Mus musculus: one gene and its partners. The protein of the gene in region 1 purifies or fractionates together with the protein of each later gene. This does not show direct contact. Links are inferred from orthologs where the notes say so. Each region holds a gene or a part of one and is shown in the gene's direction. Other genes may lie near its edges.

The links.
Region 2: the proteins of Cstf2 (region 1) and Sympk purify together in Homo sapiens (affinity purification with mass spectrometry; 4 studies listed by BioGRID and IntAct, with this or other methods). This does not show direct contact. The link is inferred for Mus musculus from reciprocal best matches to the Homo sapiens genes CSTF2 and SYMPK.
Region 3: the proteins of Cstf2 (region 1) and Cpsf2 purify together in Homo sapiens (affinity purification with western blotting; 3 studies listed by BioGRID and IntAct, with this or other methods). This does not show direct contact. The link is inferred for Mus musculus from reciprocal best matches to the Homo sapiens genes CSTF2 and CPSF2.
Region 4: the proteins of Cstf2 (region 1) and Cstf3 fractionate together in Homo sapiens (co-fractionation; 4 studies listed by BioGRID and IntAct, with this or other methods). This does not show direct contact. The link is inferred for Mus musculus from reciprocal best matches to the Homo sapiens genes CSTF2 and CSTF3.

Annotation. Positions count from the first base shown.
Region 1 is NC_000086.7:134,057,987-134,061,975, forward strand, and holds the start of Cstf2 (cleavage stimulation factor subunit 2), read left to right. Parts: upstream 1-1,189; 5' UTR 1,190-1,378; coding exon 1,379-1,436; intron 1,437-2,657; coding exon 2,658-2,736; intron 2,737-2,958; coding exon 2,959-3,128; intron 3,129-3,707; coding exon 3,708-3,844; intron 3,845-3,989. UniProt on the Homo sapiens protein: One of the multiple factors required for polyadenylation and 3'-end cleavage of mammalian pre-mRNAs. This subunit is directly involved in the binding to pre-mRNAs.
Region 2 is NC_000073.6:19,048,341-19,051,798, forward strand, and holds part of Sympk (symplekin), read left to right. Parts: intron 1-108; coding exon 109-217; intron 218-499; coding exon 500-600; intron 601-1,039; coding exon 1,040-1,130; intron 1,131-1,597; coding exon 1,598-1,699; intron 1,700-2,253; coding exon of another isoform or gene 2,254-2,417; exon of another isoform or gene 2,418-3,415; intron 3,416-3,458. UniProt on the Homo sapiens protein: Scaffold protein that functions as a component of a multimolecular complex involved in histone mRNA 3'-end processing. Specific component of the tight junction (TJ) plaque, but might not be an exclusively junctional component. May have a house-keeping rule.
Region 3 is NC_000078.6:101,985,940-101,989,524, forward strand, and holds part of Cpsf2 (cleavage and polyadenylation specificity factor subunit 2), read left to right. Parts: intron 1-1,318; coding exon 1,319-1,434; intron 1,435-2,693; coding exon 2,694-2,881; intron 2,882-3,585. UniProt on the Homo sapiens protein: Component of the cleavage and polyadenylation specificity factor (CPSF) complex that play a key role in pre-mRNA 3'-end formation, recognizing the AAUAAA signal sequence and interacting with poly(A) polymerase and other factors to bring about cleavage and poly(A) addition.
Region 4 is NC_000068.7:104,589,151-104,593,336, forward strand, and holds the start of Cstf3 (cleavage stimulation factor subunit 3), read left to right. Parts: upstream 1-1,333; 5' UTR 1,334-1,525; coding exon 1,526-1,552; intron 1,553-4,186. UniProt on the Homo sapiens protein: One of the multiple factors required for polyadenylation and 3'-end cleavage of mammalian pre-mRNAs.

The DNA of each region.
Region 1 (3,989 bases):
GGCTTAGTTGTGAGCACAAGAACCTCAGTGCCGCCCACAAAAACTAGAACGTGGAGCAAATACAAATGTCAGCTTGTATCAGAATTAGCTGCCTAGTTGGGAGAGAGCCATAGAAGCCATAGAAGTTATGCTTGCACCTGAGCACGCACAGCATGGCTCTTAGAGCCAATGTCTGCTTTCTCCAGTAGAGCTCATACAATGTGTTTCTCACAGAAAGATCGGCACTGATGGAGTGAGGGAGGGGTTCCCTGGAGCAGAGCCCTGCACGTGAGAGTATGTTTGCTTTTTCGGGCTCTTCTTCCAGTAGTGGTGTGTCACTCGGCATCCAGAAACCAAAACCACTCCAGTATAGTTCCAAATGTCCTCCCTCACAAGGGAAAGAGCTGTGCAGCTATTACTTAACAATGTGCGGATAAAAAAGACGGTATGGCTCTACCAAAGGCTGTCCTAAAACTACTTCATTTAACTATATTTCCCAGATTGCATAGCCCTGAGAACCACCAGAGGCACTCGTTGAAAAATGACTCTCCAGTTTACTGTGTAAATCTCACTCTCTAGATTGGAGTGGAGGTCCAAGAAAACCGCTATTCATAGTTAAGTACCCAAGCAAATACTTCGTCTAGATGAGATTTTGAAAGCATTAGGTGAGGAACCTACGTCGCCATTACATATTCATTTAGCGAAAATTCACCACTCCGAACTGTGACTCATGAAAACTCTGATACTGTGCTTCTTACAGAGCTGCAAATATCTGGCTTTGGATAATTCTATTATCTAAGGTATTCTATCAGTCACATAGTGATTTTAAATGGAATTTCCTTTCTTTACCAGAATTACATCTTGAGACATGTTCCATAAAGTGTGTGTGTGTGTGTGTGTGTGTGTGTGTGTTCTATTCCTCTAATATGGGATGTGTTTTGCTGGAGATTTAATCTAGGACCTCATACATGCTATCTATGTAAGCCTTCTACAAATGAACCACATATCCAGCTCGCGGAGTTAATGTTTGTAATTGCTTGGGTGGGCGCCAGCGAAAAGCGACCTTCTGCAAGAATGGCTTCTTACTGCAGGCTCCAAGGCGTCACATTAGCCTAGCCCCACCCCCTTATGACGTCGTCTCGGGCCTGGCCCCGCCCCGCGGCACGCCGCTCACGCCGCTTCTCCTGAGCCTCCGCCTTTTCCTGCAGCCTGTTGCCCCTCCCCCGGGGCCGAGCCGCCTGGCGGGAACGACCGCGGTGAGGCGCGCGGCCGGGCTCCGCGGCGGCGCTTCGGGGCCAGGTGCTTCCGGCTCCCACCGGACGGAGGCGGGCTGGGCCGTGGTCTCGCTCGGCCGCGGAAGTGTGCTTTAGCGCACCGGAAGCCACCTCGGGGGTGAGCCATGGCGGGTTTGCCAGTGAGAGACCCTGCGGTGGATCGTTCCCTGCGCTCCGTCTTCGGTGAGAGGATTTTCCGAGGCGCCTCGGCTCGGGGAGGGACGTCCCCTGCGGTCCCCCGTCTGGAGCGGAGCGGGTGTCCCCGGCGGGCGGGCTCGCTGCTGTCCTTTGGCACTGCAGCCCGGCGGACTCGTGGACACACACGATCCCCCGCCCCCGCCATCTCCCCGGCTCCGGCTCCGGCTCCACGGTACCGGAGGTTTTGCCGCAGTGTGGCTCAGGGAGCCAGCCTCGAGCCGGTGTCTTCTCTTGCGGTTTCTTTTCCCCCCTTCATGATTCTCAGTTATTTTTTAGGAGAAAAGGTGCGTGGAAACAGAGTGTCCCTGTTCCGTGCTGCTTCTCCTACCCCAAAATACAGATTTTTATTCTGAATCCATCGACCCCCATAGCCACTTCCCGCCCTCTCATAAACGTGTTATGTGGCTTGCTTTTTTTTACTTGGTTCCATCCAACCATAGTGGTAGCGGCCACCTGGCATCTTGAGATGGGTTGTGAATGAATGAATGAATGAATGAATGATTAAATGATTAAAGCGCAGGGCGATTTCAGAGGAGCGCAACTAAGCAATTCTTAGGGTTTAAATGAGTTATTTCTAAGATACGTGCATTGCTTTTAAAGCACGTTTGGGGGCAGTAGAATTGCTTCGAATTCAAGGCCAGCCTAGGTTACCTCACAAGACCAGCCAGAGCTACATAACAAGATTCTTTCTCAGAACAAAAAAATAACAAGAAATAAGCACTGTTTGAAAGAGACACGACAAAACGGTCTCGTCATCGTGAGGGTCTTAATTAAGCACAGGATAATTTTTAAGCATCCTGTGCTGTATTCACGGCTTTTCCTCCATACGTGTGTGTGTGTGTGTGTGTGTGTGTGTGTGTGTGTGTGTATACATGAAAATAAGGAGACAATCCCCCCACTGTTAAGGGCTTTGAGGAAATATCAGTGTTTAAAGATTTTACTTCCAGCACAGTTAGGGACAAATAAACCTTTTATTTGTCATATCACTACGAGAACTGTTTGAAAGGTACCTTTTTAAATGTACTCTCTGGCTCATTTCCCTTGTTATAAGATCTGAAAAGAGACAGTGGTCGAGGGGGGGTTTGGAGAACGCTGTTCAGTCAGTTATTGCCTATGTGTTGATGCAGATAGAAAGCCTACTGTTCACTTGCTCGCTCAAGAGCTCAGTTACTGCCCCAAAATTTTAATACGTTGTCTCTTCTTTAGTGGGAAACATCCCTTATGAAGCTACTGAAGAACAACTGAAGGACATTTTCTCTGAGGTTGGGCCTGTTGTTAGTTTCAGGTGAGATCCTCTTTCAGGAGTCTTCATTGTGAGAGTCTTCAAAAGCACAAATTTTGGGGGTACATGCACATGCTCGATACTTCATATCCAGTCTTGCCTGAAAGATTTCTTTCATTAAAAATGTTTCCGAGCCAAGAAAGCAGTCAGAGTGGGCTAAATAAGACTATGGCAGTGTTAGCAGGAAGCCTGTGTGAGTTCCTAATACTTGGTTTTGGTCTGCAGATTGGTATACGATAGGGAGACAGGAAAACCAAAGGGCTATGGCTTCTGCGAGTACCAAGACCAAGAGACAGCACTTAGTGCCATGCGGAACTTGAATGGGCGTGAATTCAGCGGGAGAGCACTTCGAGTGGATAATGCTGCCAGTGAAAAGAACAAGGAGGAACTGAAGAGTGAGTATAAGGCCCAGCCATGTGCATCACATGAGAGTAAAGATGGGCGAGTGGAAGCTTTGCATTTTCCGTGATATTTTAGAAGGTGCTGAGGTAATGAGCGGAATGAATAGCTTCTTAGACCTGAGGCACCTGAATGAGGGGTTGACTATGTTTAAGAAACTTGGCTGTAGTGATCTTTCTGTTCCTTAGGAGTTAATTTCCAGTGTAAGGGACATGCAGATCTACTAAGCCATCAGTTATTTCTCTGTGTTGCTAGACTAGTAACTGGTGGGGAATCCTCAAGACATTTCCACAAATACTCTGTTGAAATGATAGCCTTTGTCGGTTTCAGTGCTTTTCTTCTGGAGTGACTTATGGAAGAAGTAAATGATGATATTACCATCACTGTCGTAGCTTTCCACTAAGAACAGAAGGTAGACCCTCACTTTCCTTCGCAGAAAGATTTTTGAGTGGCTCAGCTCCAAAGAGTTCCAAGTTATTGGTTGGTGCTTCCAGCAGCCCTAGGAAATAGATACTTGAAATGACTTGGGTTGTTACTTGACCATCCTGACTTTCTTCTACTTTCTTCCTAATCAGGCCTTGGCACTGGTGCACCTGTCATAGAGTCACCTTATGGAGAAAGCATCAGCCCTGAGGATGCCCCTGAATCCATTAGCAAAGCAGTTGCCAGTCTTCCACCAGAACAGATGTTTGAGTTGATGAAACAAATGAAGGTGGGAGGAGGCATTCGAGTATCAACGAAATCATTCGCATCAGATTTTCAAGGAGTTAATGGATATAATTCCCTGAGCTTAAATAGTTGATACTGTAGGCACCATTTCTTCCACATTTTGTACACTGGGTATTTTTATACATAAG
Region 2 (3,458 bases), on another chromosome or scaffold:
CAGGCTGACAGTAGGAGAGACCGGGAGCCCAGTAACCGTTACCACCCCAGCTTCTGCAGCCTCTTCAGATACTCCTCATCACCTGCTCTTGCTCCCCCCTGCATCTAGATCCGAGGGATGGGCATGAACTCTCCAGAGCTGCTGCTGCTGGTAGAAAACTGTCCCAAGGGGGCAGAGACGCTGGTCACCCGCTGCCTGCACAGCCTCACCGACAAAGGTACCTGGGGGCCCTGCCTTCTACCATCCATCCCACCTGCTCTTGCCCTGTAGGGGCTAGAGCTGCTGTGTCTCTAGTGCCTGTGCCCCTCTAGTTCTTCTGTCCTTGGGCCTCACTCTGTAGTGAAAATATATGAGCTCCATTTAGGGAAGGAGAGGCTGGGATTCCGCTTTGGGACTGTCCTGCCCCTCCCATAAACTTAACTCTGTCCCCTAATCCGTGCTCATCTCCCCTGGCCCCTCCCTGTCATCTCAACTCAGCTTTTCTCTGTCTTCCCCAAAGTGCCACCATCCCCAGAACTGGTGAAGCGGGTCCGAGACCTGTACCACAAACGGCTGCCTGATGTGCGCTTCCTCATCCCCGTGCTCAATGGGTTGGAGAAGGTAGGGAAGGAGGAGAGGGACAGGTGGTCAGCCCACTTCATGGCAGATGGGCTGGAATTGCACACCTAGTTTTGAAGTAGGTCCCCAGACCCATCTCAGCCTCGTCAGTCACTGTTCAAGTGTCACAGTGGGGTGTGGCTCTGTGTGTGTGTGTGTGTGTGTGTGTGTGTGTGTGTGTGTGTGTGTGTGTGTGTGTGTGTTTGTGTGTACTATAGTTCCTGGCCTATGGGTAACACCCCAGCTTATGTCCATGGTAAATTTTGGAGCCAAGGATGGTTCATCACCATGTGGGTGTGAATGGGGATGACACTGTCCACCAGAAGTAGCCAATAGCTTTGGGGAGAGGGGGACCAAGTGTCATGACACTTAGTGTCCTCTGTGAAGTGGGTGGATGTGGGGCCACCCAGCCCATCATCACTCTCATCCCCCATCCCCTTAGAAAGAGGTGATCCAGGCGCTGCCCAAGCTCATCAAACTCAACCCCATTGTGGTGAAGGAAGTCTTCAACCGCCTGCTAGGCACTCAGCACGGTAGGTGCCCTCCCTCCTCGCCAGCTTACCTCCCAGCTGCACTGAGGCTCTCATGGGAATGGCCTTAGAGACCAGAGTCTCTGTTGTCCACCATGGTGAGAAACAAAGAAAAGTATTTGAGGTGGAAAAATAGCCAGAGATGTATATGAATGACTTCCTCATCCCTGGTCCCTGCGGCCACATACAGACATACCAAGTTTATGTGCTTATGTAGAGTTAGTCCTAGGCTGGTGGGCCTTCCCTGCCTTTTGGGTACACAGCCCAGTGCACTGAGGAGACAGAGGGGTCACAGCAAGGAAGCTCTAAAAAGGTGGTGAAGACTTGCAGCCACTTCATTTAGTCTCCTGTCCCCCAGCCCAAGAAGCAAGAGGGTTCCTCATTTGTATTTACCCAAAGCTGGCCTAAGATCCAGCTCTTTGCTGAGGCCCCTGTCCTGTCTCTCTTCCCCCTATTGCCACCCATTGCAGGTGAGGGGAACTCGGCCCTGTCCCCCCTGAATCCAGGAGAGCTGCTGATTGCATTGCACAATATTGACTCTGTGAAGTGTGACATGAAGTCCATCATCAAAGGTGAGGCACCCCTGTTTCCCCAGGACCCAGCTCCCACAGACAGGCAGGGCCTCAGTCACCCACATGGTTCTACTGCATCGAAGACTATGGCCTGATGCCTGACCTGTCCCTTCCCGGTCTCCACCCATAGCACATACACACATGTGCCTGCCTGGGCACCAGGTAGTCCTCGGGAGTACAGGACATCCCTCTTCCTACCTACCCCGAGGAACCCAGGAAGCAGGGCCCACGGAGGCACAGGGCTTCTGCAGACGAGCAGATGGCAGGCCTGAGCTGGGGCGTCAGAGACGTCCATAGTTGGGGCTTGGTGATGCTCTGGCAGGCTTCCTCTGCCCAGGCATCTCCTCCGAGCCAGGCTCTCCCTTCATGCCACAAACCCTGCCACCCACATCTCCTGGTAAGTATGCTCTAGATAGGGCACAAAATTCACAGAAGCTAAATCAGTTGCCAGGGTCACACAGTCTGAGCCAGACTGGAGCCAAACCAAGAAGGGCTCTGCTCACGAGCCTCCCCTGGGAGGAAGCCATCATTTCCCTCTTTCTTTCCTCCTCTAGAGACTTGGCCCAGAATCGGCTCTGTCCCAGGAGGGCCCTGCTGTCATCTATCAGTTAACCTCTCTGCTGACTTTAGGGTAGCTTCTTCTCTGTCCCTGCCTTTCTTGTTCTGCCTGACGTGGCTGCTTCAGGGACCGCTTCCTAGCCTTCCTCAGCAGCCCTGACAACGGGCTTGTGAAGACAGGGCAGAGGAGGCTGCAGGGAAAGGGGAGGGGTATCAGCTGGGATTGTGGGACACACACACACACACACACTTTTTACCATGCTGGGAATGAACCTAGCGCAGCCTCCCATGTGCTAGGTAAGTGTTCTATCTCTATCCACACACTTGCTTCTTGATCCTTAAATGCAATGAAAATAACCTTGACTCTATAGCAGCCCATTCCCAAGGGCAGTTTGAACATAATTGGAAGGGATTTAGAAACACAGCCATCGTGGATCCAGAATAGAAATCTAGTCACAAAGAGAGAAGAAAGGGCCCTGCCAAAAGTCATGCGGATGGCTGAAGACAGGCATCTACCTTGCACAGTCTGGCAGTTTCTTTGGGAATTCTTGTCAGTTCACAGCCTCTAGGCTTCCTAGGTACCCCACAGATCTCACCACATCTCCCTTGTCCCATCAGGTGAGAAGCCCTGGCCTCCCTGGGCCCCAGCACAGTGCTGGGGACACACTGGGACACTGATAGCTGATCCAGCCTGGCCAGGACTCAGGAAGGGCTTTCTCAAGTGGGGTTACCTTCAGCGAGCAGACCCAACAGACATGAGCCTGTCAGATCTAGGGCTGAGCAGAGGTTTCCAAGTGAGGGAGGAAACCGGCTTGGCCTCATGCACCCTCTGGGGTGGAGGACAGGCTGACCTTTTGGACGACCTCTTGGGCTGCTGAGTGGGAAAGGCTAGAGAGGCTGGGAAACACAAGAGGCTGGGTAGACAAGCTGGTGTCAGGCCCATGTGGGCAGCAGTGGAACACGCCTCCACAGCAACAGGCACCTCAAGTTCTGCCAGTCCTTTCTCCTCTGCCCTTCAGCCTATGTGTTTGCTGCAAGGTCCCTCCTCTCCCTATGGGCCTCCTCTTTACAGGATCATCCTTGCCTGCATCGGCCTCTCAGGGATGGGGGAGGTGGGCTTTCTTCTTGCTCAATAAAGACTTCCTGATTGACACACTCACATGGCCAGTGGTGTTTGGGGAAGGGCTTCAGAGGCAGCTCC
Region 3 (3,585 bases), on another chromosome or scaffold:
TTAATTTGGTATTGAGAAAAATACTATAAATCCTGTGTGTCCGTGCCCTGTATGTGGTTCCTAGAGGCCTTCTTTGTTATGTCTGTGCATTAAGCTCAGGGGTGTCTTGTGTTAGATTCCAATCATCTCAAGCTTCACATTGTGAAGCATTTAAGGACTCACAGAATCTAGACTTGTAGTTGTGGGTGAATGAGAAGGATGGGAAATGAAGTAAATGGTGAATGAAGTCAGATGAATTAAGGTGACAGTAAATTCTAGGTGGGTTTAGAGTTAACTAGAAACAGAAGCTGTATTGTGTCCGGCCTCTGACTTGGAAGAGATTGTACACACAAAGGTAAAGGCTCAAGTAACTTACAAAAGAAGTAATACATTTGATTATATATAAATTTAAATTAAATATTTAAATTAAAATAGTAAAGCCATTAATCAGAGAAAATGCAGTAGCAATTAGCCAACTACTTACCTATGTATAAGACTAGGCATTGCTCAAGAAATCACAAATACACTGACTGCAAGATGGCCAAGTGTTAGTCACAAAGCAGACACTGAGATAACGTGTACTTGTTATGTGTTTAGATTATCTTAAAATACTGATAACTTTCCAGAAAAGGTTACAATACAATAATTGTATATTCTATTGAATACATTTCATGGAAAAATTTTTAAAAATACAGCCAGGTGTGGTGGCACACCTCTGTGATCCCAGTACTTGAGAGCTGGAGACAGGAGGTTGGGATTTCAAAAACCATCTCTTTCAAAGGTAAAGTGGTGAAAAAGTGCGTTCAGATAAAAATAAATGGTCAGATGAATACAAAATGGTACAGATCTCACAGGAAGTTTTTACAGTTGTGAGACAGGTGAGCGCCTTGCTATGCTCTATGCCTGTAATTCCAGCGTTTGCGAAGCTGAGGTAGGAGGAGCACACCGTCACCTAGGCTGTGTGTGTGTGTGTGTGTGTGTGTGTGTGTGTGTGTGTGTGTGTGTGTATACCCCAGTTTTCTAAAAAACCAGCTTCAGGCAGAAATGTTTTACAACTTCTAAAAGTTAGATTTAGAAAAATGTTCATGTCACAGAAAAGTCTAGAATATAAAATGGATATATAGAAATATACATGTGTTAGATGCATATAAGGGTACAGAGAAAAACTTGTATTTTCAGAAAGATTATGTCCAATATGTCATATCACCTATCTTGAAGAGGTGGTCCTTGTTAGTGTGAGGGAGGCCTTATGAAAGCGGTTTCTTATTTTTGTAATAGGTGAAGCTATTACTGTTTATTTGAAATGACAGATATTCTTTGTCTTTAAACTTTGTTATAGCCACTTAAATGGATGTTCCCTGGAAATGCTAAGCAGACCCTCTCTACTTATCACAGACTCATTTAATGCTACTTACGTGCAGCCTAGAAGGAAGCAGAGAGATGAGCAGCTCCTGAGTACGTATGCCTACCGTTCGTCTGTCGGAAAAGATTGGCTAACACTAATATTTTTCTAATTGCATTTTATACATTTTCTATGTGTATGTATGTATGGGCACATGCTTGCCACAGGGTACATGTAGAGGTCGGAGGGCATCTTGTGGAAGTCTGTTCTCTCCTCCCACTATCTGGATCAAATTAGGGTCATCAGGCTGGGCAACAAGAGCCTTAACCCATTAAACTGTCTTGCTGGCCCCATGACTCTTGTGTTATTTTAAAGAAATGTTAATGTGACCGGTTCAGCATGCTCTCTCTGAAGGTTGGCCTCCTCTGCCACTCTGCTCGTAGTCAGCTGTCCAGGCATCCACTGGTCTCTGTCTGTAGAACAACTGCATATGTACAGACCAGAAGGGCAGTGAGCCAGAGAGAAGTGACGGTGTACAAGGTCTGCTGGCTGGGTGTTGGGTGTTCTGAGGGTTATCTTGTGTTTACAGGGGTGCCTCTGAGCCATCACGTCTTGCTTCTGCTTTGACTCATTCTGCTGTGCTTTGTTATATTTTAGAAGCCATATGTGATTGCAACAGGAAAGCTGGGTTCCACTTTTAAATGTATGTGCAAACACTGATCTGTCTACTTACTAATCCACTAACCTTAGAAAACTCTTCAATTCGTGTGTGAGCGTGAGTGCGTGAGTGCACTTGCCAGGTAGAGTGTATCTGTATGTTTACGTGTGTGCTTGCCAGCTAGAAGTTTACCTGTAGCCAACTCTTCAAGGTGGCTTTGAGAACAAAGTCATCTATTGCTAGAGATGGTTTTTGTTTTTTAAGATTCATTTATTATATTTATATGAGTACACTGTAACTGTCTTCTGACAAAACATAATAGGGCATCGGATCCTATTACAGATGGTTGTGAGCCACTATGTGGTTGCTGGGAATTGAACTCAGGACCTCTGGAAGAACAGTCTCTGGAAGACCGTGCTCTTAACCTCTGAGCCATCTTCTCTCCAGCCCAAAATGCTTTTTTTTTTTCCCTTGGAAAAAAAAAACATGTTTTGTGTTTTATTCTACATGCATGCATACAAAACGTGTCGTGTATTTTATTCCTAGGAAAACATATTCAATCGAGTGAGAAGTAATTGTGTTAATCTGAACCTTTCTATGTGTCCTAGTGACCACTTACGCAGTCTTTATGAAAGGCAGGCAGCGGGAAGCTGTGCTGTGCTTACCTTTGTTACAAAGCTCATGCTTCATAGGGTTCTTCTGTTCTTGTTTAAGCAAACGTCCTGGAAACGCTTCGGGGCGACGGGAACGTGCTGATAGCTGTGGACACAGCAGGCAGAGTTCTGGAGCTTGCTCAACTCCTGGATCAGATTTGGAGAACTAAAGATGCCGGGTTGGGCGTTTACTCGCTGGCTCTCCTGAACAACGTCAGTTACAACGTGGTGGAGTTTTCTAAGTCGCAGGTTTGTTCTCCTCGTGCACCACTGAGTAAAAAGGTTGAGTGTAGTGTTTGAATTGCCCTTCAGATTTTATTTTCCTGCTAATAATAATAGTAGCCGAACATTATCTTCTTACTGTCCTGTCTTCTTCACATACATTTTTCTTTTAAACATGAAGTCTATTTTTGTCTCCACTTTGCAAATTGAACAAGTTGCTTGTTTTCTTACTCTTGGTTTTCTGATCTATAAAAATGGGGGTAAAAATAAAATATCAATGCTAGAATTCATTTTTTTTTCTTGTTTTGTTTTTTTGTTTTGTTTTTTTTTTCTGTTTGTTTTTTTGTTTCTTTCGAGACAGGGTTTCTCTGTGTAGCCCTGGCTGTCCTGGAACTCACTTTGTAGACCAGGCTGGCCTCGAACTCAGAAATCCACCTGCCTCTGCCTCCTGAGTGCTGGGATTAAAGGCGTGCGCCACCACGCCCGGCCATTTTTTTTTTTTTTTTAAGATTTATTTATTTTACTTATACAAGTACACTGTAGGTGTCTTCAGACAGACCAGAAGAGGGCATCAGATCCCTTTACAGGTGGTTGTGAGCCACCATGTGGTTGCTGGGAATGGAACTCAGGACCTCTGAAAGAGCAGTCAGTGCTTTTAACTGCTGAGCCATCTCTCCAGCCTGAATTCATCATTCTTGAAATGAGCTCTTCCCTTCCAAGTGACAATCCCT
Region 4 (4,186 bases), on another chromosome or scaffold:
CAATAACCTCTTTAAATGTTTTGATGAATACACGCACGCATAGGCGTGCACACACACATGCACACATATATACACATAAGCTATTTTATATTTCTGGCTTAATTTTGTGGCTATTTTTAGATTTATATATTTATCTTGTGAGTGCCTGTGTGTTTGTAAGTGCAGGAGTTTGCAAGCCATAGTGCATGTGTGGAGGTCAAGGAATAACTTCCTGGAGTCGGTTCTATCCTGTCAACTCATTGGATGCCAGGATCAAACTCAAGTTTTTTGGCCATCACGGCAAGCACCTCCACTCTTTGAACCATCCTGGCTCATTGTGGATATTTTTCTAAGTCAGTCACATCAGCAACAGTTTAAAAGAGTAACGCCCCATTGAGGGAGACTTCTGAAATATTCAGACTCCATTATCAAATGTTGCAGTGACTCAATATATGTACATTTGATTCATGCATCTATTTGCTTAAAAAGATATATGCATCTCATTGTATGGCCCTCGTCCGTGGGCTCTACACACCAGGCTGCCCTCAGAGATCCATCCAGCCTCTGTCTCCCGAGTACTGTGATTAAAGACTTGTGCCACCACCGCTCAATAACCTCCTGGTTACTCGTAAGCCAAATAAGAGCTTTTACCTTTTAAGTTAAATCTTAGCTGCTGTTGCTATTCCTATCTTTAGGCAAGGAAACAGAGACGCAGATAATGCAAATTGCCCAGTCTACTCCTCTATAGTAGGTGAGAAGTCTGGATGCAAAGCAACATTCCTTCGCCACTATCAACGCAATTTTGCAGATAAGAGATCGTGGTGAGACGCTAAACTAAAATCCCCGGTCTAATAGTGAACGGTGACAGCAAAAGTAAAAAAAAAAAAACAAAAAACAAAAAAACAAAAAAACAAAAAAACAAAAAACAGACTTGATGTGTTCCTCTCCTCCCCAAGAAAAGAAAACGTACAGAACGCGTTAGTAGACTCCTTATTCCCGAAACACGAGAGGTATTCACTAACTCTCAACGCTATTCCCTAAAATGGTCAGTTTGCCTGTACAGAGCGGATTGGCAGTCAGGCTTCAGCAGGGAGGAGCTCGGCTCTGCAACTCAGTCGTGAAATTCCAAGAAGCGCGGGAGCTCCCAGGCCAATCGGGTGGATCTTTCCGGCCGGCCTCGGAAATCTGGACAGCGGCGTCATCAGTTCCGGGCGTGACGTTAGCTCACGCACTGAGCCCGCCCTCTGGGAGCGCTCTGCGCTTGTGCACCTCCAATAATCCGGGAGTTAAGCCTCAGCCCCGCCCACTGTCCCGGAAGTGAATACGGAAGCGCCTCACACCCCCTCTGCCGGCTGGGGCGCAGCCATTTTAATTCAAATCTGAGTGGGCGGCGGCGGCGGCGGCGGCGGCAGCGGATTTGGCGGCGGCTTTGGCTCTGAGGGACAGGGGTAGTGTTCCTGGTTTTGGTGGGGTTTGCCTTTAGTTTAATTTTCCTTTTCTAGCTTCCCTTTGCCGGCTGGTGCGTACGTTGTAGTCCCCCGAGGCCATGTCAGGAGACGCAGCCGCGGAGCAGGTGAGGAACGGGAGCGGTGGGGCCTCGTGGCGACCTCTTCTCTCTCTAGCCCTGTGGGTGCGAGCACCCCGTTCGCGTGAGCAAGGGCCCTGAAGAGCTAGTGAGCCCGGGGATCGGGAGCGCATCCCCCGAAGTCTCCCAGGTTTGGGCTTCTCTGTGGCGTTCGTACGAATAAGTATGGGACTTAGACAATGGCAGAGACGTCGCTTCGCCCTGGCCATTGCAGTTTCTTCGGTCGGGACGGTGTATTTCATACCACTTTAGTGTTCCGGTAGTCCCAGATTGTTCTAACGTGTATCTGCGCTGGCAGTGTTTTCCTCGTCTGCCCCCCAGTCCTCTGTCCCCAGAAATAACGAAATCAGTCTGGAAAATTCGGCCCCCGAGAGAGCGAAGGTAAAAAGAGCCACGGCTCTTCCGAGCTTTGGGGGAATTTTGTGGATTCGCTTTCTTCCCCTCTCGTTTAGGAACACTTTATTTTTGCTTTTACGACCACGCAAACATTGCAGAATTTGGTAAACTGAAAACTCGAAATGTGCTTTAGTCACTGTAGGCACCATCTGTTTGGATGGTTAGATATGAATGATACATAAGTATTTTACAAATGGGACTTTTAGATAGGAGATCTCACCCTTTTGCTGTTTGGCTGTTTGTTTGTTTTGGATAGGTTTTCACAGTGTAGCCCTGACTAGGCAGGACCTTCTGACAGGATTGCTTCCTTGGCCTCCAGGCGTCCATCTCCATGTTTGGTTCTTTTGCTCTTTTATATCCTAAATTTTGTAGGCTAGTGTTTGGCTTTTACTGTAAAAAACAAAACTGAGTTTTTGAAAGGTGTGTGTTTTGATCTTGATCCACGTATATTTAGTTTTAAAAGAAAACAAAGTCCTAAATTTCTTATTGCTATAGCAATGAAATACGCTTGTATTTTTATTTCTTTTCTTTTTCCCAAATCCCCAGCTAATAAAATAGAAATTATTGGAGGTTGACAGATGAGGTAAAATAGGACTGTATGTTAATGAAGTGTAGGCAAATTAGAACTTAATTACTTTGGTGACTGAAACGCTTGAGGACCAATTTAATTCCAAGTCTTGGCAGTGCTTTTGCATTTTATCTAAAGTCAGGGTGCCCACGAATGCAGTGTCTTTGAACTATTTTTCTAAAACTGTTTATTTTACTCTACTCTTACCGGGCTGGCATTTTTATTTTCTGAAAGTGAAGGAGTGGTGTTGAGGTTTCATTGGATGTGTCTGAAATTCACTGTTTTATATAAATTTGTAAAGACAAAAATTTGCCATGCTTTTGTTTTAGAACTATGCGGGTTTTAGTTTTTGTTGTGGGTCATCCTGCTCCACCCCAGCTAGAGGTTGAACCCCGGGCCTTATGCATGCAGGGAAGCAATCAACCACTGAGTTAAAAGCCTTAGTAACACAGTGTGTGATGTTTTCTATGAGAACTGTGATGAGACTTTATAAACCTCCATTCTCCAAACCCCTTTTATTTTGACAGTTGCCCCTATGTAGGCCTGGCTGGCATGGAACTTGCTACATAGACCAGTCTGGCTTTGAACCTCTGCCTTGCTGAGTGCTAGGAGTAAAGATGGTACATGCACATCTAGCCTTTTTTTTTTCTTTTTTAATCTAGGAGTACTGTGCAACTCAGGCAGGTCTTGAACTCATTGCAATCTTTCAGCTTCAGCATCTGTAACAGGCATTCCTCCTTTGAATTTTATTGTGCAGTTTACAACAAAAGTTGAAGGGAAAACTCATGAACACTCATTATAATTTTCACCAAATCCAGCAGGGTTACAGGTTTTGTCTGTCTGTCTGTCTGTCTCTCTCTCTCTCTCTCTCTCTCAGGGTTACAGGTTTTGTCTCTCTCTCTCTCTCACACACACACACACACACACACACACACGAGTGTATATATATATATATATATATATATATATATATATATAGTATTGCAAGTATGTATTCATACACATATTTCTTGTGGCTTAAAAGCTAGGAACTTCCTCATATTAGGCAAGCTCTACTATTGACATATACCTCTAACCTTGACATATTTTCTTTCTCCATACACATTTCTTTGAAAGTTGACTTATCACATTTCAGTCCAAACTATTTCAACATTCTTTTATATAATGACATTAATGCTTTTATGTAACTACCATACCATTATCCTACTCAAAATCTAGTAATGCCTTATTGGGGAGTGAGGGGGATTGCTTTTGTTGATGTTGTTGTATAACAGCTCTTGGAAGATCAGGCAAACCTCCAACTCAGAGATCTGCCTGGCTCTGCTTCCCAAGTGCTGGGATTAAAGGCATATGGAACCTATCCTGGCTTCTGTATTATTTTTTTGAGATAGGGTCTTGTATACTTTGAGGGCAAACTGGCTCAGTTTGTAGCTGATAAATGACCTTGAACTTCAACCTCCCAAGTACTGATCATAGGTTCTTTCCAGTGCACCTGGCTCAATAATGATGTATTTCTAACATGTCCATATTCAGATTTGCCATTGCCTCAAGAGTGTGATTTATAGGGCTATGGATGTTGCACAGTTGGTAAGAGTGCTTGTGTCACACGCACAAGGCTCTGGAATCCAACCTAAGTTCCTAAGCACTAATTAAGCCAG